Callithrix jacchus: one gene and its partners. The main gene of each other region encodes a partner of the protein of the gene in region 4 in a complex. Links are inferred from orthologs where the notes say so. Each region holds a gene or a part of one and is shown on either strand. Other genes may lie near its edges. The genes, in order: GPS2, ZER1, CORO2A, TBL1X and ZYG11B.

Region 1 (4,009 bases), on a different chromosome or scaffold from region 4:
TGAGCCCAGGAGACAGAGGTTGCAGTGAGCTGAGATTGTGCCACTGCACTCCAGCCTGGAAGGTGGGAGACATTCGAGCAAAGGCTTGAAGAAGGAAGTAAAGGGTAGCTGAGCAGGCTTTGGGAGGAAGAGCATTTCAGGTAGAAAGAACAGCTAGAACGAAGTTCCCAAAAGGTGAGAGGATTTCCTAGGTAAAGCAAGGCTTGTGTGGTTGGAACAGACTTTGCAAGGGGAGAGGTGATGGGGTGAGAGGCTTCACTCCCCTATTTCTTCTTGTCTGACAGATTCCGGGACCCCAAATCCCAGCGGACGCACCAGGCTCAGGTGGCGTTCCAGGTGTGTGTGCGTCCTGGCTCCTACACCCCAGGACCCCCTTCCGCTGCCCTTGGAGAACCTTCTGACCCTCACTTCAGCCCAGCCGAACTTGAGTGGGTCACTAAGGAGAAGGGGGCCACACTCCTCTATGCTCTGCTGGTACGGGTGGAATGAGGGGTGAGACACCACTACTACAAGCACAGTCGGGCCTCAGGCCCATGGACTCCGAGTGGCGACTGCCTCCACCTCATTCCCGTGACTGTGGCATGCGCAGGTGCTGGGGCTCGGCGGCCGCTCAGGAGCATGTAGGCAGGCTCTCAGATGTAGGTGGGAAGCGGCACACTCCAGGTCCAGACGCCCAGCACTCCGTCTGAGGGGAGGAGCTGCGAGAGCCTAGCTCCAGGCCTTGGTACCCTTCTTCATGCACTGATTTGTGGAACATAACTCCCTATTACTCCCCTCCCCGACATCACTTAATTTATTTCAGTTTTTGTTACTGGTTACTGTGAATCCCAGAGGAGTCTCTACCTGTGCCCACATGAAGCTGCTTTTGCCGGGGCCACTGGGCGGGAGTGGGGAAGGGCGGGCGCACGGAAGACGGGGGCCTCTGTACAGTTGTTACTGACTCTGATTTCTAAGGAGCCAATAAACATCGTCTCAGAGCCTCCGCTTCAGCCTCTCTCTCACGCGCCCCTTTCCGGATCCTGCGTCCCCTGGGGTACTGCCAGGCGGGCCCGCGAAATTAAGAGAACTGAAGATGCCAAGGCAGTTGTGCGGCGACGGGGTTTGGACGCCGCGGGTACCCGTCGCATCGCGCTTCCGCCTTCTCCCACCCAATCAGTGAGATCGGCCGCCGCCGTGACTCCGGAAGGACTCGTCGGGCCACCGGATGTGACGTAGGGTCCAGGGCGCGCCGGAGCCGCGGAAAAAGCGCAGAGAAGGCTGGTAAGGAGGGTTGGCGTCCGGGCTGGCCAGGCAGGGAGCGGCAGCACCGAGCCGGGGACCCAGCGCCGCCCGCGCGCGTGCTGGAGCGGGGGCTGCGGGCTCGGCCGGGTGGCGGGCTCCCGGGACACGTGACCGGGGCGGCGAGCGGGTTTCCGCCTGAGCCGGGCGCGGGCCCCTCTGAGCGCCCGCCTCTCCGTAGGTCTCGTCTGAGGTCTGGCAGTGAGAGACAGAGCCGGGCGTCCACGGCAGCACCATGCCTGCACTTCTGGAGCGCCCCAAGCTTTCCAACGCCATGGCCAGGGCGCTGCACCGGCACATTATGATGGAACGGGAGCGCAAGAGGCAGGGTGAGCCGGGGCCATAGCGGAGGGCATACGGCCCAGAATGGCTCCTGTACCTCAGGGCTGGCCCCAACCCACCGGCCAACCTGCGCGCCCGCTGCCGAGCGCAGAGGAGGGAACGAACAGCTCTGTTGTGGTAGGATTTAAGCGTCCTAGTCCACTCTCCAGGACCCTTGAGCTGGGAAGGACCTTGGAGAGCACCTGATAAAGTCTCTCCATTCCATTCCCTATTGCAGCGTTGGGGAGCTTGTCCCCTCGAGGCAAAGAGCCCACAGGCGTGTTGGGATGACTGGGTTTTGCTGGTCTTCAATCTGTAACGTTGGAATTTTTACTACCCTGCCTCTTCCTCATTCTGCGTGATTCTCCAGAGGAAGAAGAGGTGGACAAGATGATGGAACAGAAGATGAAGGAAGAGCAAGAAAGAAGGAAGAAAAAGGAGATGGAAGAGAGAATGTCACTAGAGGAGACCAAGGAACAAGTAAGCAGTCCCTTGATCTCTCCAAGCTCTAAATTCTTCCCTTGACTCTCCCTGCCTTCATCTTCTCTCCCCACCCCATACCAGATTCTGAAGTTGCAGGAGAAGCTTTTGGCCCTACAGGAAGAAAAGCACCAGCTTTTCCTGCAGCTCAAGAAAGTTTTACATGAGGAAGAAAAACGGAGGCGAAAGGAACAAAGGTGGGATCAGAGTGATAAAAACCGAAATGGGGGCTAAGTGGAACTGGGATCAGATAGTAAGACAACCAGTGTTTTAACGACAAAAGAGAGAGTGTCTGTCCTTGACTTTGATCTGTTTTCCTTCCGCTCCAGTGACCTGACCACCCTGACATCAGCTGCATACCAGCAGAGCCTGACTGTTCACACAGGAACTCATCTCCTCAGCATGCAAGGTGAGGATTAAAAAAACTACCTGATAGAACCAGCCTTCTTTGAGGTTGCAGCCTACCATTTCAGCATCCTGCCGCCCTTCTCCCTTTCTAGGGAGCCCTGGAGGACACAATCGCCCAGGCACGCTTATGGCAGCTGACAGAGCCAAACAAATGTTTGGACCCCAAGTGCTTACGGTAAGAATAGGATTGGATGCCTAGTCCCAAATATCCTTGCCACCAGTATTCAAGTCACAGACATATCAAGCACTTAAATTTAGGGGGAAACAAGAGCATAAAGATATACACAAGTCACTGAGTTTCAGCTTTCATGGAGCTTGTAGGTGAGTTCTCATTCTCCCTCCTTAGACTCGGCACTATGTGGGCTCAGCAGCTGCTTTTGCGGGGACACCAGAGCATGGACAATTCCAAGGCAGTCCTGGTGGTGCCTATGGGACTGCTCAGCCCCCACCTCACTATGGGCCCACACAGCCAGCTTATAGTCCTAGTCAGCAGCTCAGAGGTGAGTCGTCGGAGGGATGGGGGCTTGGCTTTCCTCAGGGTCAAAAGAGGAATGCTATTGAGTAAAGGGTTAATAGCCGTGTCTCTTTCTCAGCTCCTTCAGCGTTCCCTGCAGTGCAGTACCTATCTCAGCCACAACCACAGCCCTATGCGGTACACGGCCACTTTCAGCCCACTCAGACAGGTGATAACATCCCATGCAGGACCTCTAGCTCTCTGGGTCCTCCCCTCCCTGTCTCATTGTTTCACATGCCCCTGCTCCCCACCTAGGTTTCCTCCAGCCTGGTGGTGCCCTGTCCTTGCAAAAGCAGATGGAACATGCTAACCAGCAGACGGGCTTCTCTGACTCAGTGAGTATGGCGCTTGGGAGGTCAGGGTTAAGGATATGTTAAGAGGAGCTTCAGTATGCGTCAGGCCCTGACTCTGTTCTCTGCAGTCCTCTCTGCGCCCCATGCACCCCCAGGCTCTGCATCCAGCCCCTGGACTCCTTGCTTCCCCCCAGCTCCCTGTGCAGATCCAACCAGCAGGAAAGGTAAGAATGGTAATAACCTTACCTGTCAGAATCCCTATCCCAGAAAAGCAGAATTAGGTAGGACAGGTGGCCCACATCATCTGGTTTTACCTTCCTCTTTGGGGGTGGTTATCAGTAAGGGTATTAGTGGAAGGGAAAGTATGCCCAGTGACAAAGCCCTCTTTTCATCACCACCGCCAGTCGGGCTTTGCAGCTACCAGCCAACCTGGCCCTCGGCTCCCCTTCATCCAACACAGCCAGAACCCGCGATTCTACCACAAGTGACCATCAGATTATTATCTTCAACACCATACCCCCCATCCTACTGTGGGTGAGGGTACCCCCTGTGTGTCCCAGGCCAATAAAATCTACCTGCCACTGCCCCTGGCTGCTGCTGTTTGTGTTGCCTCCCACCCAACTGTCTGGAATAGGTCAAGGCTGCTTGAAGGGTTGGGTTAGGCTGGCAGGTCTACAGCAAGTCAAAGTGATACAGATAGTGGGTTTCAATGAAC
Region 2 (4,240 bases), on a different chromosome or scaffold from region 4:
CCGCCTACTTGGGTTCAAGTGACTCTCCTGCCTCAGCCTCCCGAGTAGCTGGGATTACAGGTGTGCGCCACCATGCCCAGTTAATTTTTGTATTTTTTTATAGAGATGGGGTTTTGCCGTGTTTGGCCAGGCTGGTCTTAAATTCCTGACCTCAGGTAATCCACCTGCCTTGGCCTCCCAAAATGCTGGGATTACAGGTGTGAGCACTGCATCAGCCTGCTCGATTTTCCAGATGAGAAGACTAAGGTGGAAAAAGGTCCTGTGCCCATATTACCACAACCAGGAAGCAACAGCATAACTTGATTTAATCGCAGTGCTCTGTGACCATGATTCTTTGTATTTATTCCATCAATAGTCATTACAAAGATGGAAGAAGGGTACTTACAACCCAAGGCCAGAGCACAATGGCCATTTGTCATCTAAAACAGATCTGTGTTTTCTCCAACCACCAGACACTTCAACAAGTACAGTTCTGAAAGGGTGTCCCATTAGACACCCTGTGACCCTGTATCACAAGGACAGCCCTGATGTCTTCCACAGTTATTTGGTCCTCACTGTTCTCTGACTTCCTTGCCAACTATTCTTCCCCTCCTTCAACCTGCTGCAGTCCCTTGTCCTCCTGCTGTTTCTTTTCTTTTCTTTTCTCTTTTGAGAAGGAGTTTTGCTCTTGTTGTCTTGTTACCCAGGCTGGACTGCAATGGCGCGATCTCGGCTCACTGCAACCTCCACCTCCTGGGTTCAAGCAATTCTCCTGTCTCAGACTCCTGAGTAGCTGGGATTAGGCGTGCACCACCAGGCCCAGGTAATTTTTTATATTTTTGGTAGAGACAGGGTTTCACCATGTTGGCCAGGCTGGTCTCGAACTCCTGATCTCAGGTGATCCACCTGCCTCAGCCTCCCAAAGAGCAGGGATTACAGGTGTGAGCCTTCACATCCAGCCTCTTTTTTTTTTTTTTGAGACGGAATCTCCCTCTTGTCACCCAGGCTGGAGTGCAATGGCACAATATCACCTCACTGCAACCTCCACCTCCCAGATTCAAGTGATTCTCCTGCCTCAGCCTCCTGAGTAGTTGGGATTACAGGCATGAGCCACCATGGCCAGCTAACTTTTTTTGGTACTTTTAGTAGTGATGAGGTTTCACCATGTTGGCCAGGCTGGTCTTGAACTCCTGACCTCAGGTCATCTGCCCACCTCGACCTCCCAAAATGCTGGGATTACAAGTGTGAGCCACCGTGTCTGGCCCTCCTTCTGTTTCTTCCAATCACCAGGCATATGACCACAGGACTTTTGCATTTGCTGTGGAATGCTCTGACACCAGAGAGCTGTCTGGATTGCTCTCTCACTCACTTATTTCTGCTCAAAGGTCACCTTACCAGAGACCTTCCTTGAACACCCTCTATAAAAAGACAACTCCCACTCTCTGACCCTTCCCATGGTCCTTCCTTCTTTTTCTCCAAAGCACTTATTACCACCCTACAAATCATGTTTATTATTTGCTGAATGAACAAATGAACCAAAGTAGCGAGGCCCTTCACCCCTGGCCACCACTTTCTGCTCTAAGTATAGCCTCCTGTGACCCTTTTCAAAGCTGTGCTTTCATGCTCATCCTAACCAGTGTGAAGCCTGAAGAGAAACATTCTGTGGGAAAGATCATACATCGGAGAATTTTCCCAAGACATCGGACATTCCCCACCCCCTTAAAAACCAAATGCACTAGTCAGGCGCAGTGGCTCATGCCTATTAATTCCAGCATTTTGGAAGGCTGAAGAGTGGTTGCAGCGGCGATGCTCAGGCCCCGCAGGCAGGAGGCGAAGGAGGAGGATGCAGGTACATCCCTTGACCCCGAGTTCAAGACCACCCTGGGCAACATAGTGAGACCCCATCTCTATTTTTTAAAAAATAAATAAAGAAAATAAAAACAAAACAAAACGAATGGACTGACAAACACAGGCAAAGACTGGAAATCTTGGGGTCCTTCAGTCAAAGAGCAGCCAAGACAAGTTCTACCCACAGAGCTATAGTGGCCGGTACAGTCAGTTTCACTTTTAACTCACCTGTCGGGCTCCCTTGGCCCTCGGGTTGCAACCTCACCCTGTTGGATTTCCCTGTATTTTGTCATCCCTTTTGGGAGCTGATCCAGAATCCAAGTCATCCCTTCGCTTTTAAGCACTGCTCTGGGGTAACTTAAGCTCATCCAACAGGTAGGAGGGGCAGAGGCTCGCCCTTTCAGCCCTACACCGATCCCCCATCTTGCAGGGACAAACGACAGAGCGTCATTTTCTTTCTGGAGGAAGGGAGCCCAGTTTTAAAGACACGATTTTCAGACCCGGCGGCAGGGATAGAGAAGGAAGCCCTCCCACCACTGGCCGAGACGGACCTCAGAGAGTGGTTGCAGCGGCGATGCTTAGGCCCCGTAGGCAGGAGGCAGGTACATCCCTTGGCCCGGGGTCCAGGACCTACCCTGGGATGGGGCTGCCCTCAGCGTTGGGAAGCGGACGTGATGCTTCGCAGGCGAGGAGGAGCGGAGAATGGAGCCCGGGAGAATCCGGGACCAGAGCGCCTCAGGAGGTTGGGGAGCTCGTCAGGCTAGGGCCGGGGTCCGGGGGAGACGAGGGTCGGCTGGGCGGAGCTTGGGATCCCGCGGACGGGAGCTCCGGACGGGAGGGGGTCGCGACGGGGACCCCGTGGCGGTTACCTTGCCCTTAGGGCTGCCGGCGGGGCTGAGGCTCCCGGGCCCGGCCCCTCCCCCGATCCGGCTCCTACTGCTCCGAGCCTGCAGCCGCCGCCGCCTCCGCTGTCAACAAACCTGGGGTGCGTCACTTCCGGGGACGCCCCTTAGCAACAGCGAACGGGTTCCCCCGAGCCGTCCCGCGGCCAACGCGGGCGACGGCGGCAGAAGGTTCCGGGGCCCGGTGGGAGGCTCCTCTCCCGGGCCCAGCGCAGTCCGAGGGTGAAGGGGGCAGTGGGGTGCGCCCTCAGGCCGGCCGAGAGCACGTGTCCTCCAGGGCCTTCCCTGGTCTCCGAGGGGCCCATTCGTGGAATTCCAGGTTTGGTGCCCGCCCTAGAGCTGCGGTTCATCTGAGCCCAGCACTGCTGAAGGGCAGGACTGACTCGGCGCCAGCCCCTTCCATCCAGCGCCCTACTGAACATCTCTCGCGTTCTTCACAGGTGGCTCACACTCGCGCGTCCAGCCGCAGTCATCACCATCCCCCAAAACGTGCTCCTACACCTCCATCTAGGGCATGCGCCACCAGGCAACCGAGCTTCCGGATGGGAAGTTGGGAGGCGACCTCGGCCCTTGCATTGCCCCAGACCCCTCAATCGGTCTCCAAGTCCTAAGGATCCTGTCAAACCAGCCCCTTCTGGCCGGGCCCCGTGGCTCATGCCTGTAATCCCAGCACTTTGGGAGGCCGAGGCGGGCGGATCACCTGAGGTCAGGAATTCGAGACCAGCCTGGCTAACATGGTGAAACCCCATCTCTACTAAAATTACAAATATTAGCCGAGCTGGTGCGCGCCTGTAGTCGCAACTACTCAGGAGACTGAAGCAGGAGAATCGCTTGAACCCAGGAGGCAGAGGTGGCAGTGAGCCCAGATCGCAACACTGCACTCCACAGAGTGAGACTCCGTTTCAAACACAAACAAGAACCAGCCCCTCTCTCCTCCCTCAGTAGTGCCAATGTCTGTTCACCATCATTTCAGTGTCTGGATTTCTCTCTCTCTCTCTTTTTTTTTTTTTTTTTTGCGAGATGGAGTTTTGCTCTAGTTGCCAGGGCTGGAGTGCAATGGCCAGAGCCGGCTCACTACAAACTCCACCTCCCGGGTTCACGTAAGTTTCCTGCTTCAGCCTCTTGAGTGGATGGGATTAGGCGCCTGCCATCGTGCCCGGCTAATTTTCGTATTTTTAGTAAAACAGGTTTGCCGTGTTGGCCAGGCTGCTAGAACTCCTGACCTCAGATGATCCACCCGCCTTGGCCTCCCAAAGTGCTAGGATTACAGGTGTGAGCCACCGCAGCTCTTCTCTGGATTTCTACAACAGCCCTCCTAACAACGCCCTCCTCCCACCCCTCATTCCCTCCACATTCCCACAGTCCCAGAGTGATTTTTCCAAAACATAAATCTAATCCGGGCATCTCTTTGCTTATAACACCTGACATAGACGACAAAGACTTTTATGGCCATCCTCACCCCCAGGGCTCCCTCTCCCTCTCCAGCCTCTTGACTCGCTCCCCTTACCTCC
Region 3 (4,094 bases), on a different chromosome or scaffold from region 4:
GTGCTTATATTAGACAAGAGTCTTTATCTTTTAGAGACATATGCCTAATATTCACAGATGAAATGGTATAACATCCAGGATTTATTTTAAAATACCTTGGGGCTGTTGAACAGAGGAGGAGAAAATGAGGGAGTAGAGATGAAACAGGCTGCTGATGGTGGGTCGGGGTACATGAGGATTCACTGGAATCTTCTCTTTAATTTTGTATGTGTCTTTAAATTTCCTTTGTACAAGATTTATGCAAGAAAGAAGCAGGAGAGCACAGAGGTGGCCCAGGCTCTGGAGCTTGACTGTCAGGGTTCGAATCTTGGCTGTAAACAGCCCTGTGCAACACAGAACCTCTAGTCCCACAAGACTTCTAAATTAAAGTTAAAATCAAATAAAGTGTAAAATCTAGCTCCTTAGTCACATTAGCAACATTTTAAGAGCTCAAAAGCCACACGTGCTTAATATTCACAGATGAAGCCATATAAGTAATTATAGAGCACGCCCATCACTGAAAAAAGTTGTCGGACAGCACCGCCCTAACATTTCCTCTCTGCCACTCTGGGCAAGTTAATGTGTCTGTTTCCTCACTAGGAGAATCAGGAGCTACAAATACAAATAATAGCTAACACCTATATTGCTGATTAGGTGTTTAGTATATTCTATGTACTAACTCAACCCTCATGCAAATACTATCATCACCCCATTTTTAAGATGAGGAAACAGGGCACAGAGAGGTTATGTAACTTGCCTAAGACCACACAGCTAGTTAGTGGCTGGGCTGGAATCCAGGCCACGCTGTTCAGTCGCAGGTCCACACTCTCACAGGGGTGCCTGGACACTTACATGAGGTGACACTTATACACAGCATGCGGAGTCACACTTGGTGCATACGTAGTGTTCAGCAGACGTTGACTAGTAAGATTGTTGTGGTCCTAATGTGTACAGGACACTGAGATGTGATTTAACACACAACCAGGTATATGCTGGGAGCCCAATATTTTGGGGATCTAAATAAAAATCCCAAACCAGAAAGCATAAAGCAGGCTGCCAGGGTCTGAGTGGCTCGTGAGAGTTCCAACCCCTGGCGCTCACGATGATGATGGGGAACAGACACACACATGCAGAAGGCTAGCTGACAATCCCTGCTGGATGAGAAGAATCCAAGAGAGTGCATTTGTGCTTCTCCAGGCTGGGCTCTCCCGGGTGGATGTCAGAAGGCCCCACCCTGCCCTGGTGCTGAGGGGCCTGGGATGGGGTGGAGGAGCAGGGGAAAAAACCCTTTGCTTCTTCTCCATCAGCACAGCCCAGGCAGGGAAGCAGGAGTGCAGCCATCCAGGGACTCTCACGAGTGAGGGTTGTTGGGGCTCGACCATCAACAAGGGAGGCAGAAGCGGTCTGCAGCCGGCAAACACAAACAGCCCTGTCCTCAGGTCTCCGCCTTCCCCGCCCCTGCGCTGCCCATCATTCTGGTCCAGCACAGATGCCTCCCTGCAGGCCCACAGGAAGTACAGATTGAGTCAGAGAGCGAGCCAAGACAAGGCCTCTTTCTTCCTGATGAGATTAGGCCTGCGGGAGTGCCTCCTCCCTACATCTGACACTGCCCAGAGCCACCGTCCCTGGACTGGCCTCCTCCTCCTGCCCTGCCTCCTCCCCAGCCAGCCCTGCCCCCCACAGCCCCCACCTGCTCTCTACTCCTCTCCCAGGCCATGCCAAGGCCTGAGCAGCCTTCTCTCTTGGGGATTCAGGCCTAGAGTATTCCGACCTCAACTCTGGCCCTGCCCCTTCCCGACGTCTGTTGAAACCCACCCGGGTCCCCTCTGTCCTCAGGATAAAGTCCTCTGCTGGACTTGGGTTTTGAGGTCTCTACATTCCCCCTGCGTCCCTGATCTCCTTCTCATCTCCACAGACCTGTTCTCTAAGCTGAACTGGTCTGTCTGCTTTCCCCTCAAAGCATCACATTTTTCAAAAGAGAAGGGGAGAAGCAAAAAGAAAATAAAGAAGCATCATGTTTTCCCAGATAATCCATCTTTGCTCATGCCCCTTCCCTCCACCTAGAACTACTCCAGCCCAGGTAAGTTGCTGGGTGGCACTTAGCGGGGCTCTTAGGATGCCCCTTCCTCTCACCCCACCTTCCTGGCCCAGCTCCAGCAGAACCACCTCCAGGGAGCCTCCCCGCCTCCCAGACTGAGCAGTCTCTCCATCCCATGCAGTCCCATCCTGACATTTGGGGAGGTAGCCAAGGGCAGGGAAAAAGAAGTCACCAGTTTCAAGCCCTGGACCCCTGTTTGTCTCTGTACCATAGCATTAGAGTACCCTAATATTTTTCTCATAGAATCTAGAAGATTAAATTAGATCATGTACGTAAAAGACTTTGCATGTGTCTGGCACAACGTAGGAGCTCGGCTCATGGAAGTGCCCCTCCCCTCCTCCTTTCCTGCCCACTGTGTTTTTTCCTTCTCTTCCTTCCTCCCCCACCAACACACCCCGAGGACTGTCAACCCCAGATGGTTCTCCCCTTCTGCTGCGCCCATGTACAGCCCTGTGGGGACCCAGGGGGAGGCCCACCTGACTCTCAGCTTGAGCTTCCATTCAAACCAGCAGCTTCTTCCGAATTCCACCTTGGGGTGCTAGGAGCCAACGGGCTGGGCCCATCACTGTCATAGCAGTGTGCTGGTCAGGCTGGAGAATCCCAATTCTTTTTTTTTGCTTTGTTTTTTTCTTTTTTTGAGACAAAGTCTTGCTCTGTCACCCAGGCTGGAGTGCAATGGCGCAATCTTGGCTCACCGCAACCTCTGCCTCCGGGGTTCAAGTGATTCTCCTGCTCAGCCTCCCGAGTAGCTGAGATTACAGGCATGCACCACCACACCCAGCTAATTTTTGTACTTTTAGTAGAGACAGGGTTTCACCATGTTGCCCAGGCTGATCTTGAACTCCTGACCTAAGGTGATCCACCCGCCTCTGCCTCTCAAAGTGCTGAGATTACAGGTATGAGCCACTGAGCCCTGGCCGATAATCCTAATTCTGACACCAATTCACTCCATGACCTTGGGCAAATCTCATCCCCTCTCCCGCTTTCTGTGTTTCTATCCACATGATAGTAACAGCCCTGCCCTGCCCACCTGTTAGGATGATCTGTGAGGGCGCTGCAGCCTGCACACGCCAGACACACTCAGGACCTCGAGGGCGGCAGAGCTTGTCCACCTGTCAGCCGTCCTCAGAAGGCTGGTCTCCTTCCTGCCTAGGCCTTCTGAAGACACAGCAGAGCTTCTTCCTGTTTAACCCCCCAAATCAGGATCTGACAAAACTCCACACAGATTTATTGCCCCACAATCTCCTTATCTGGGAGTTTCGAGCGACAAGGGTCACTGGGGATTTTCCAAGACGCCTCCAGAGGCTGAAAATCTGGGCTCCACTTCCTGCTCACTGTCCACTTTCTGGCACAGAGCTTTCGGGCCTGTCTTTGGACAGAGAAGGACACTGAGGCCCAGAGAGGGAGAAAGCCTTGCTTAGGGTCCCACAGTCAGCCCAAGGCAGGGCTGAAGCTCTGCAACTCTGGTCCTGGGGCGGACATCCAACCAGGGCCCTGCATTCTGTTCTCAGCATGGACCCACAAATCAGCCCTCACTCTGCCTGCCTCAGGGACCGGGGGCCCAGAGTCAGTTCAGCCGACATCATCAGTGCCCACTGTGAGTCTGATGCCATGCTGGGCACTGTAAGGGAGATGCATGATGGACCCAGACAGGGTCAGGGTCAGTTACGGGGGAGCTCAGAGGATGGGGGAGGCCCCCATGTAACCAGCAAGCTCAATTCAGGGTCACCAGGGCTAAGGCCAGCGCCGCAAGTTGCAGCAGGGAGATGGAAATCTGGGGAGTCAGGGTGGGCCTCTGGGACGACACGGTTGAGCTGAGCCTTCAAGGTCAAGTAGAGCAAGCCCAGCAGAGGAGGGAAGGGGAGGCACCTGGGTGGAAGGTGCTGTGCTAGGCCACGCCTGGCCGTGTGTGGTGTGTGGAGATAGAGCTAGGAGCTTTCAGCTCAGCGGGGTGGGGGGGTGGGAGACTTGGTCTAGGCAAATGCAGGCCAGCATTGGGGCTGCGGCTGGAAGAGGG
Region 4 (4,079 bases):
CCTCGGCAAGAAAAGGAAACAGTACCCGACTTCCTCTGAAAACTCAACATATTCTCTTTCATCTTAACTTTAAATTTGTTCCAATTCCATTTTTAACAGCTTCCAATTCACTTCTGCAACCTTCAGGCATGCAGTAGATTATCTGTAAACATTTGATGGGGATGGCCGCGCTGGAAGGAAGCCGGCTTGGGTGGCACATCCATCTGAAGTCAGGCTCTCGCTGGCCAGGCAGGCAGCAGCCCGAGTGGACTCCTTAACAGCTGCCTTTCTCCCCTGGAGATGTGAAACTCCTGTTCACAGCCTAGGCTCTGCTTGCTCTTTAGAAACCTGTGACTCCTTCAGCCCCTTCCCACATTCAGCCTTTCTTTGGGTTCCGGTAGGTTTCAAGTTTGCCAGTCTGGCCAGTGTGGTCCATTTGGTCGAGCCCCACAGAAAGTGAGGGCGGGAGTGGAGGGGCAAGACCAGTGGGAAAAACTCGAGCGCAGTCTCCTGCTCAAGAGGTCAGTTACCTCCCTCTCACTAAAAATAGTTATGGGGAAAAAGTTTATCTTTCCAACTAAAAAAAAAAGTGTTTATAATATGCCTTTAGTGTTGCTTCCTGGCTGAAACTGATTTGTCAATGCATGTGGTAGTGAAAGATTAACAACCTCTCGGATGTAGCGTACTAGGTCTTTTTGTTTTTCCTAAGGGAGAATAAAAAGCAAAGCAAGGCAACAGGAAAGCAGCGCAAGGATGGTCTTGCCTGGCTGGGCAGAGAAGCTGTGATGATCGGCTAGGCCTGGAGGCCCACAGGACAGTGCTGCAAGGCAGTTTTGTAGAAAACTGGGAAGGGGCCAGGCCCAGGTTCTAACGGAGGTGTTCTCTTACCCAGCAGGAGTGGATCAGAGAATCTGAATTCCTGACACTCACGACCTGCTGGAGATGGCCTCTGCTCATCACCTTAAAAGGTGAAAAAAAGCTTCTAACTAAGAATGATGCACAGAACCAGTGGTACTGATATAATTGATGGGAAAACTCCAGAATTTGAAACATTCACTTCTAAGTGTGTCTACAATAAAGTTATTATTTTTTGCAAACTGTTTCCTCTTTAAACTACTGGCAGGGAGAAGTTCTCTGAGTCCAGTAAAGGGGCAAAATACCTGCGGGTGGGGAAGCGAGGGTGTCTGCACTACGCCACACATCTCCATGTCAGTCCTACAGGTGTGTGTATTCCGAAGGGCTGGAATCGCCTTAAGAGCCGGTGATCCAGTGGTGAACAACTTTCGTTGTTTGTATGAGTTACGCAGTTTGGTGGCTTTCCACAAAAATCTGCAGCACACCTGAGACATGACAACCCTTTAAAATAAGCATGTCATACTCAACATTTTTCTAGATTTTATTTTCCTAATTGCATCTTTTCTAGGTAGGACTTGTAAACTTTTCGTAAAATGGTCAAGAGCCACTTTCCGACACCAAAGCCATGGCCCGGGACCTTAGCAGGGAGGTCGCCTTCCAGGTTAAACCAGGGATTCGGCGGCGTGTCAGGAGATGGAAAACATCCAGAAGGCAGGTCAAGCCACACATGACAATGCAAAGCAGAAACAGTTGCAAATACAATAGAGGGTGGGTTTCTGTTTCTTTTTAGGTTTTGCTCCAGAACATCACTGACTGACTCGAAAATAAACGATGGTCCCTACCTTTGTGGAACGTCCAACGCAGCTGGCTGGGGAAACACGAGGCCTTGCAGCGAGCGAGCCCTGGCCCCAGTATGACCGCGCACAGGCGATGCACGTGAAGTCCAGGCCCTTTACCCGCACTAGCGGGGCTCCAGCGACCCACAGTTGTCACAGATCCGGCCATCCCCGACTCCCGAAGGCACACTCCCCATACCGCACTCCGAGCACCGGTCCCATCCTTAGATAAAGTCCCCCGCAGCAAGGCTAGAGCTCCGGATCTGCGAGACCCACCCGACCCGACCCGCCAGAGCCCAGGAGCAGCAACAGGTCTGCGCTCTCCCCGGGCGGCGCTCTGCAGACCCTCGACGGGCCAGGGGTGCCCCCAGCCCGGTCGTGCGCTCGGGCCGGGGAGATGGGCAGAGGACAGGGACTCCCGACTTCCTTGACAGTTTCTGCGCTTCAGAAACTGAGCAGACGCGGAGCCCGCGCCTCCTCACCAGCCACTCGCCCCACTCCGCGCAGCTGCGCTTCCAACCGGGTGCCGGCGGGCCGGCCCGCGTAGCGGGGATGAATGGGGCTCCCCTCCCCAACAGGGGGAAATCCCGCTACCGCCCTCCACCTCGGGCCCCGGAGCCCACGGTGGCGCAGGTTAACCCAGCAAGCCTAAGGATCGGCAGACAAAGAGGCACCATAGGAGAAGCGGAGTGCTTCCCGAAACTTACCGGCCGCCTCCCCCTCCCCAAAACAAAGGAGCCCCCAGCCGACCTCCGTCTCCTACCCCCACTTTGGGGAACCGCCACCTCGGGGTATTGTTCAGTCTCCGGGGAGCGCGCCGCACACCAGTCCGAGCGCCGCGGGGACAGCTGGCGACCTGCGCCTCCAGGAGTTCCAGGGGCGGGAGGAGCGTCGGGCTCCCCGAGCCTCCGGCAGGACCCCCGAGGGTCAGCACGGAACCCGCCTCCCCGCAGAAGTTTGCGGACCCAGCGCCCGGCCCGCCGAGCCCCGCGCACTCACCTCACCGCGAGCAGCGCAACTTGTGGCGGCGCCGCGCGCCGGTCTGCGCTCCGAACCTCCCTCCAGCAGGCAGCCTCCGAGCCCCTGCCGTGTGGCGGCCGAAGAGGGCCCGGCGCCCTGGAGCAGCGGCGCGCCGCCCCTGGGCCGCCCCCGCCCCGCCGCCGCCGAGTCCCTGAGAGGGCGCGGGCGCTGGAAAGTTTCGGTGGCGAATGGCGGCCGGAGAGAGCTGCGGCGGCGGCAGCGGGGCGGGGGCGCTGGCGGCTCCTCGCTCCCAAGCGCGGAGTGGGGGCGCTGAGGCGGGCGCGGCGGCGGCGGCGGCGGCGGCGGCGGGAGAGGGCGGGACGGCGGGAGGGAGCGGGACGGCGAGAGGGACTGGCTCGGGCAGTGACCTCCGCGGGGAGCGGCTGCGAGCGCGCGGACTCCAGCTGGGAGGACAGCCTAGGGGGCCGCCCCCGCCGCCGGCCCCTCCCTCGCGGCCGTGGGAGGCGACCCCGCGTCCCACCCGGCCCCGCCCCTGCGCCCCGGGGGGGCCGCGTCCCGAGCCAGCCCCTCCCCCACGAGGATAGGGACTCCAGCCCCGCCCCTCCCCCACTGAACCTAGTGGGAGACCCGCGTCCCAACCCAGCCCTTGCCCCTGGGTCGGGGGACTAGCGTCCCTACCCAGCTCTCCCCGCTCCCCCACGCCTAGGGTGGGTGAGGGGAACCCGGGCCTCTCCCTAGTTGCCGGGGCCCGGTCCCTTCCCCGTGGCCCCCGTGGGACTGAGAGGAACCCAGGCTTACCCTCATTCCATCCCAAACCCAGCCTTTCCACGACTGCCTGGAGAGGACAGGAACCTCGGCCACCCCCTCGGTTTATAGCGGGCAGGGGAACCTCGGTCACTGCTAAAGTGTTACCCTCCCCCATCCCAAAAAGGAAGCAACCCGGCTTCCCTGACAGAACCCCAGCCACCTGCCCGAGGGTGTATCTACCTCAAAATCGGCGTTTTAAAAGACACCCCAGTTATCTTTCCCCACCTCAAGAAGTGGGGACTCCGGCGGAACCTCCACCTTTGCAAAACACCTCCCGGGAAGAGCCAGAAATGCTTAGGGACAAACTCAGACCCCGTCAGAGTGGCCGGAGCTCAGGGGTGGGGGCTGAGGAGGAGGTTAGGGGACCTGGGCCAGCGGGCTTCATCACCCCCACCCCCAACCTTAGGCTTCAGCCCTCGGGCCCTTGCTAAGTGTTTGACGTAACGGCTTACACTGCCTGGCCCTGGTGCACCCAAGTCCCCAGCGCTCCTTCCTCCCCTCCACCTTGATGTCGACTCCCCACGACTCGCGACCTTAATTCAGTTAAACAGATCTCCGCTCCCCCTACCCAGCACCTCTTGGGTCAGCCTTGTTGAATATTTTTCAAATAAGTTTGCCCCT
Region 5 (3,938 bases), on a different chromosome or scaffold from region 4:
TAGCTAAAAGATGAATAATTCACTTGTAGGTAAGGAAAGGAAGGCAGAAAGAGTGTCAAAGCAGAGATACAGATTAGTTGAAAGTCATGGTGAGTGCTGAGAACTGGTAGATGTTCTTTTTGGTTTGCTTCATTTTCCCGTGAATTGGAAGCAAAATCATCAGCTAAATGAGGATGAGGAAGGAAGTGTTGGAGGTTTTAAGAGACAGGAGACTTGAAATAGTTATGTAGCAAGGTGGGAGAGTGTGTGAAACTGGAGAAATGTGGTAGTGTAGCCACGAATGATGGCCCCTTGAGAATAATGATCTCAAATTTACCGGGAGTCAGTCAACCACTTTTGGCTTTTTCTTCACCCACTCCACTGCTGGACTTTCATCAGTACAAAGAAAGCAGAGAAAGACTGGATAAATGAAGGTAATACTGAAGAAATCGACTTCATGTACCTCATGTACTCATGTTCTTCCTGAAACAGCTTAGATGTTATTAGATTCCATTTCATGATGGACAATAGAATCTAAGCTGTTTCAGAAACATAGTGAGTACATGAGGACAGTATGGGGAAGAATAGCGAAAGGTAGCTGGATCAATGGATTTGGGGTCTTGGGGTTGAAGTTTTTGGAGTTGGAGTATTATCAGAGAGAGTGAACTAGAAAGGAAGAAGGTTGTGATGGGAGTTAGAGGATTAAAATTGAGATTGTAAAGGAGTTATTCGTTTGAGCATGAGAGTGAGGGGCTGAGCCAAGAATGATTCCTACAGAAGACTCTGAGAGGCCAGAAGATTGGAAGAATTAAGCGAATGTTGAAATCACCGAGAATTATGACAATAGTAGTAATGAATAACAGTGTACTAGAAGCCCAAATCTTAAAGAATGATGGTGAGTGACAGAGGGGTCTATAGGTGACGGAAGCGAGAGGTGCTGTAATCTCTTGTCATGATGTAATATTTAAAGCTCTTCATATTTTGAAGGGAAGCTAGGATTTGGGGGTGTGTGGCTCCTTTAAGAGCCGGAGAAGGGGAGAAGCTCGAGGTCGGGCTGGGGGGGCGGACCCCTCGGCTGAGTCTGCGTATTGAGAGTGGAGGCGGGGCCAAGCTCGGGCTCCCGCGCCTGGGCGGGTCCTCGCGGGGGCGGAGTCTGCACTCCGGTTCGGGCTGCGGCTGCGGCTGCGGCTTTGGTTGCTGCACTTCTACCTTTTGAGGGAAAGAGGCCGAGGCCTGGGCCAAGCCCGGAGCCGCCGCTCGCCGGAGCCTCCTGGAGCCTCCGCGCCGGCTCAGCCTGGGGGCGGGCTCCGGTCCGGCCCGCCGCCGCATCCAGGACGGAGGCTGCACGCCCGAGGACCAGGCCGGCGCAACCATGGTGAGGGAGCGAGGCCTGCCCTAGCCGCAGCCGCCTGCCACCCTAGCCCCCGCCTGCCGCGCTAGCCCCTGCAGGAATGCCCTCCCTGTCTCTGGTATCCTCTCGGCCTCTCTGTCTTTACCTCTCTCCCTCGTAACCTCCCTCTCGGTGTCCAGCTCCTCCTTCCCGGTGCTCCCTCATCCACCTGCTGGGGTGAGCCCCTTTTAGGTGACACCCCCTGAATCTCCCTTCTCCCCAATGACATCCTTTTTATCATCCCCAGTGACAGCCTTTTTCGCATTCCCTTTGTCGCCCACTCCTCGTCCTTTAACCCTAACCCTTCCTTCCTTTCTCCTCTATCATTTTGCCTTTTTTTCCTCTTATGGGATTTTTACTTTCCCTCCTTTCCTCGCTATTTTTGGCTGCTCTTTTTTGCTCTTCTTACCCCTCTTCACCATTTTATCTCCACTGCCCCCTCCTTCCGTGTTCCTTCTCCCCTTCGTCCTCTCCCATCCACGTTTCCTCTTCCCTTATCGGATGTCCTCGCTCGGCTCGCTTTCACAGCTGTCCCTATTTCCTTCTACGGGCTTCAGGGGTCTAAGCAGGAACAATTTGAGAACTGTTGCTTCCCGGGAGCTGCAGGCCGGACAGATAGGAATTTGTAGGCTCGCTTCTTCCTTTCCGTTTTTGGAGGCATTGAAGAGATCTTGGAATCCTATTACCTGGTGTCATTGCAAAACCGGAGTGGTGGTGTGTTAGAGCCACGAAGTGAGGGCCAGCATGCATACTGTGACCTTAGGAGAGAGCTAGTCTTTTGACGGAAATAGCTTAAAATTGTTTCGAATTTTTTTTTTGAGCATCTTTTAATGTGGAGGTACGGTTGGGGAAATTTTTAAATACTTATTTACAAGCTTGACTGTTATTAGCTAAAACAAATGATTTATGTTCATTTGGAGGCAGAGACCAAGGGCATTTGAGGACTGACAATCAGCTTGGCAGGTTGTGGTAGTCTCTTTAAACCTTCTAAAGAGTTCATTTGTTTTGCCCTCTCTGCCTTTAGTTGGGAGAACCTTATATTTGCAAATTTTCTTCTTTATGTTTGAAAACAGGTTGAGGCTTCAGTTGTTTTTTTTTCGTTGAGTTGGCTTATAAGTGGTTTGCTGTACATTAATTGAAAACATTGCTTCATCATATGCAACAAGCTAAACTTTGGTCTCTGGGAGGAATGAGACATTCTAGTCAAAACTAAGTCCTGATAATCATGTTTTCCTAGTTTGTTTTTTTTTCCCCTCCATCTGTTTTTTAGAAAAGTGATTTACTATAAAATTATTTAATCTGTGAATTTTCCCTAACTTGCTTCTGCATTTTTAGGCTGTAATTTTCCTGTCTCCTTCACTGTCATTGTATATTAACCTGTTCTCCCTGTGGAATGTAAGTTCTAGGTAGTAACCGTGCCTTACTTATTCCAAGTGCTTAGGCCAGCTAGGTGCTTAAATGAATCACTTTATATTCTCATTTCCCACCTGACTAGTATAAACTTAAACTGAAATTTTGAGGTAACTAGTGGACCACACAGAAAGAGTGAGTATGGGAATTGTTGTTTGGAGACGGTCTTGCTCTGTGGCCCAGGCTGGAGTGCAGTGGCATAATCATGGCTCTCTGCAACCTTGAACTCCTGGGCTCAAGTGATCTTCCCACCTCAGCCTCACAAGTGGCTGGTACCACAGGCACGGGCTACTGTGCCCTGCTAATTTGTAAAATTTTATGTAGAGATGGAGTCTCGCTGTGTTTCCCAGTCTGGTCTTGACCTCCTGGACTTAAGCCATCCTCCTACCTTGACCTCTAAAAGTGCTGCAATTACAGGCATGAACCATCATGCCTGGGCAGAGAATCTTAATTTTGGTGCAAAAATGATATTAGGTGAGGTATGATGATGTACTCTCCAGAATAAAAAGCCATCCTACCTAAGACATCACATTGCTAGATTTTTGAAAGTGTGGGTCCTTCCACTGAGAATGAATTTATGAAAGGGAGGAGTTACGAACTCCCCTTTTAGGTATTTAGGATCCCAAAGTGTCCTGGGATCCTAAATACCTGGGACTGAAAGATGAATAGGATTTGAATAGGATTTGTATAAACCATTTTGGGAAGGGGAAGAATGCTTCATTGTGAATGAGTAGCAAGTAGAAAGGATGCTCTCACAGGGATATTTTTTTTTTAAAAGAAAGAAAGTAGGAAGGAATTAGGATGCATTATAGGGAGTAGTATTACCCTTATATAGCATGGAAGGATGCAAGAATGAAGATGTGTAGTAGGAAATGAGACTAGGAAGATATTGTTTTAGCCCATTCAATCTATTGTAACAAAATACCGTAAACTAGGTAGGTTGTCAACAACAGAAATTATTTCTCAGGCTTCAAAGTCCAAGATCAATTCCCCAGATTTTTTTTTTTTTTTTGATATGGAGTTTTGCTCTTGTTACCCAGGCTGGAGTGTAATGGCGCGATCTTGGCTCACCGCAACCTCCGCCTCCTGAGTTCAGGCAATTCTCCTGCCTCAGCCTCCTGAGTAGCTGGGATTACAGGCACGCGCCACCATGCCCAGC

The links.
Region 1: TBL1X (region 4) and GPS2 share a complex: the UniProt entries of both Homo sapiens proteins name them as parts of the N-Cor repressor complex. The link is inferred for Callithrix jacchus from reciprocal best matches to the Homo sapiens genes TBL1X and GPS2.
Region 2: TBL1X (region 4) and ZER1 share a complex: the UniProt entries of both Homo sapiens proteins name them as parts of the E3 ubiquitin ligase complex. The link is inferred for Callithrix jacchus from reciprocal best matches to the Homo sapiens genes TBL1X and ZER1.
Region 3: TBL1X (region 4) and CORO2A share a complex: the UniProt entries of both Homo sapiens proteins name them as parts of the N-Cor repressor complex. The link is inferred for Callithrix jacchus from reciprocal best matches to the Homo sapiens genes TBL1X and CORO2A.
Region 5: TBL1X (region 4) and ZYG11B share a complex: the UniProt entries of both Homo sapiens proteins name them as parts of the E3 ubiquitin ligase complex. The link is inferred for Callithrix jacchus from reciprocal best matches to the Homo sapiens genes TBL1X and ZYG11B.

Annotation. Positions count from the first base shown.
Region 1 is NC_133506.1:73,797,804-73,801,812, reverse strand, and holds GPS2 (G protein pathway suppressor 2), read left to right. Parts: upstream 1-1,202; 5' UTR 1,203-1,260; intron 1,261-1,459; 5' UTR 1,460-1,513; coding exon 1,514-1,607; exon of another isoform or gene 1,608-1,737; intron 1,738-1,837; exon of another isoform or gene 1,838-1,969; coding exon 1,970-2,079; intron 2,080-2,163; coding exon 2,164-2,276; intron 2,277-2,408; coding exon 2,409-2,488; intron 2,489-2,579; coding exon 2,580-2,662; intron 2,663-2,833; coding exon 2,834-2,987; intron 2,988-3,080; coding exon 3,081-3,170; intron 3,171-3,256; coding exon 3,257-3,336; intron 3,337-3,400; coding exon 3,401-3,518; intron 3,519-3,698; coding exon 3,699-3,832; 3' UTR 3,833-3,878; downstream 3,879-4,009. Other genes in the region: NEURL4 (neuralized-like protein 4), read left to right, coding at 285-489. UniProt on the Homo sapiens protein: Key regulator of inflammation, lipid metabolism and mitochondrion homeostasis that acts by inhibiting the activity of the ubiquitin-conjugating enzyme UBE2N/Ubc13, thereby inhibiting 'Lys-63'-linked ubiquitination.
Region 2 is NC_133502.1:177,369,020-177,373,259, forward strand, and holds the start of ZER1 (protein zer-1 homolog), read right to left. Parts: upstream 2,810-4,240; 5' UTR 2,697-2,809; exon of another isoform or gene 2,379-2,696; intron 1-2,378. UniProt on the Homo sapiens protein: Serves as substrate adapter subunit in the E3 ubiquitin ligase complex ZYG11B-CUL2-Elongin BC. Acts to target substrates bearing N-terminal degrons for proteasomal degradation with the first four residues of substrates being the key recognition elements.
Region 3 is NC_133502.1:146,292,789-146,296,882, forward strand, and holds the start of CORO2A (coronin-2A), read right to left. Parts: upstream 2,809-4,094; 5' UTR 2,578-2,808; coding exon 2,554-2,577; intron 1-2,553.
Region 4 is NC_133524.1:9,683,058-9,687,136, reverse strand, and holds the start of TBL1X (F-box-like/WD repeat-containing protein TBL1X), read right to left. Parts: upstream 2,809-4,079; 5' UTR 2,670-2,808; intron 2,188-2,669; exon of another isoform or gene 1,677-2,187; intron 1-1,676. UniProt on the Homo sapiens protein: F-box-like protein involved in the recruitment of the ubiquitin/19S proteasome complex to nuclear receptor-regulated transcription units. Plays an essential role in transcription activation mediated by nuclear receptors.
Region 5 is NC_133508.1:89,253,884-89,257,821, reverse strand, and holds the start of ZYG11B (protein zyg-11 homolog B), read left to right. Parts: upstream 1-1,134; 5' UTR 1,135-1,351; coding exon 1,352-1,354; exon of another isoform or gene 1,355-1,546; intron 1,547-3,938. UniProt on the Homo sapiens protein: Serves as substrate adapter subunit in the E3 ubiquitin ligase complex ZYG11B-CUL2-Elongin BC. Acts to target substrates bearing N-terminal degrons for proteasomal degradation with the first four residues of substrates being the key recognition elements.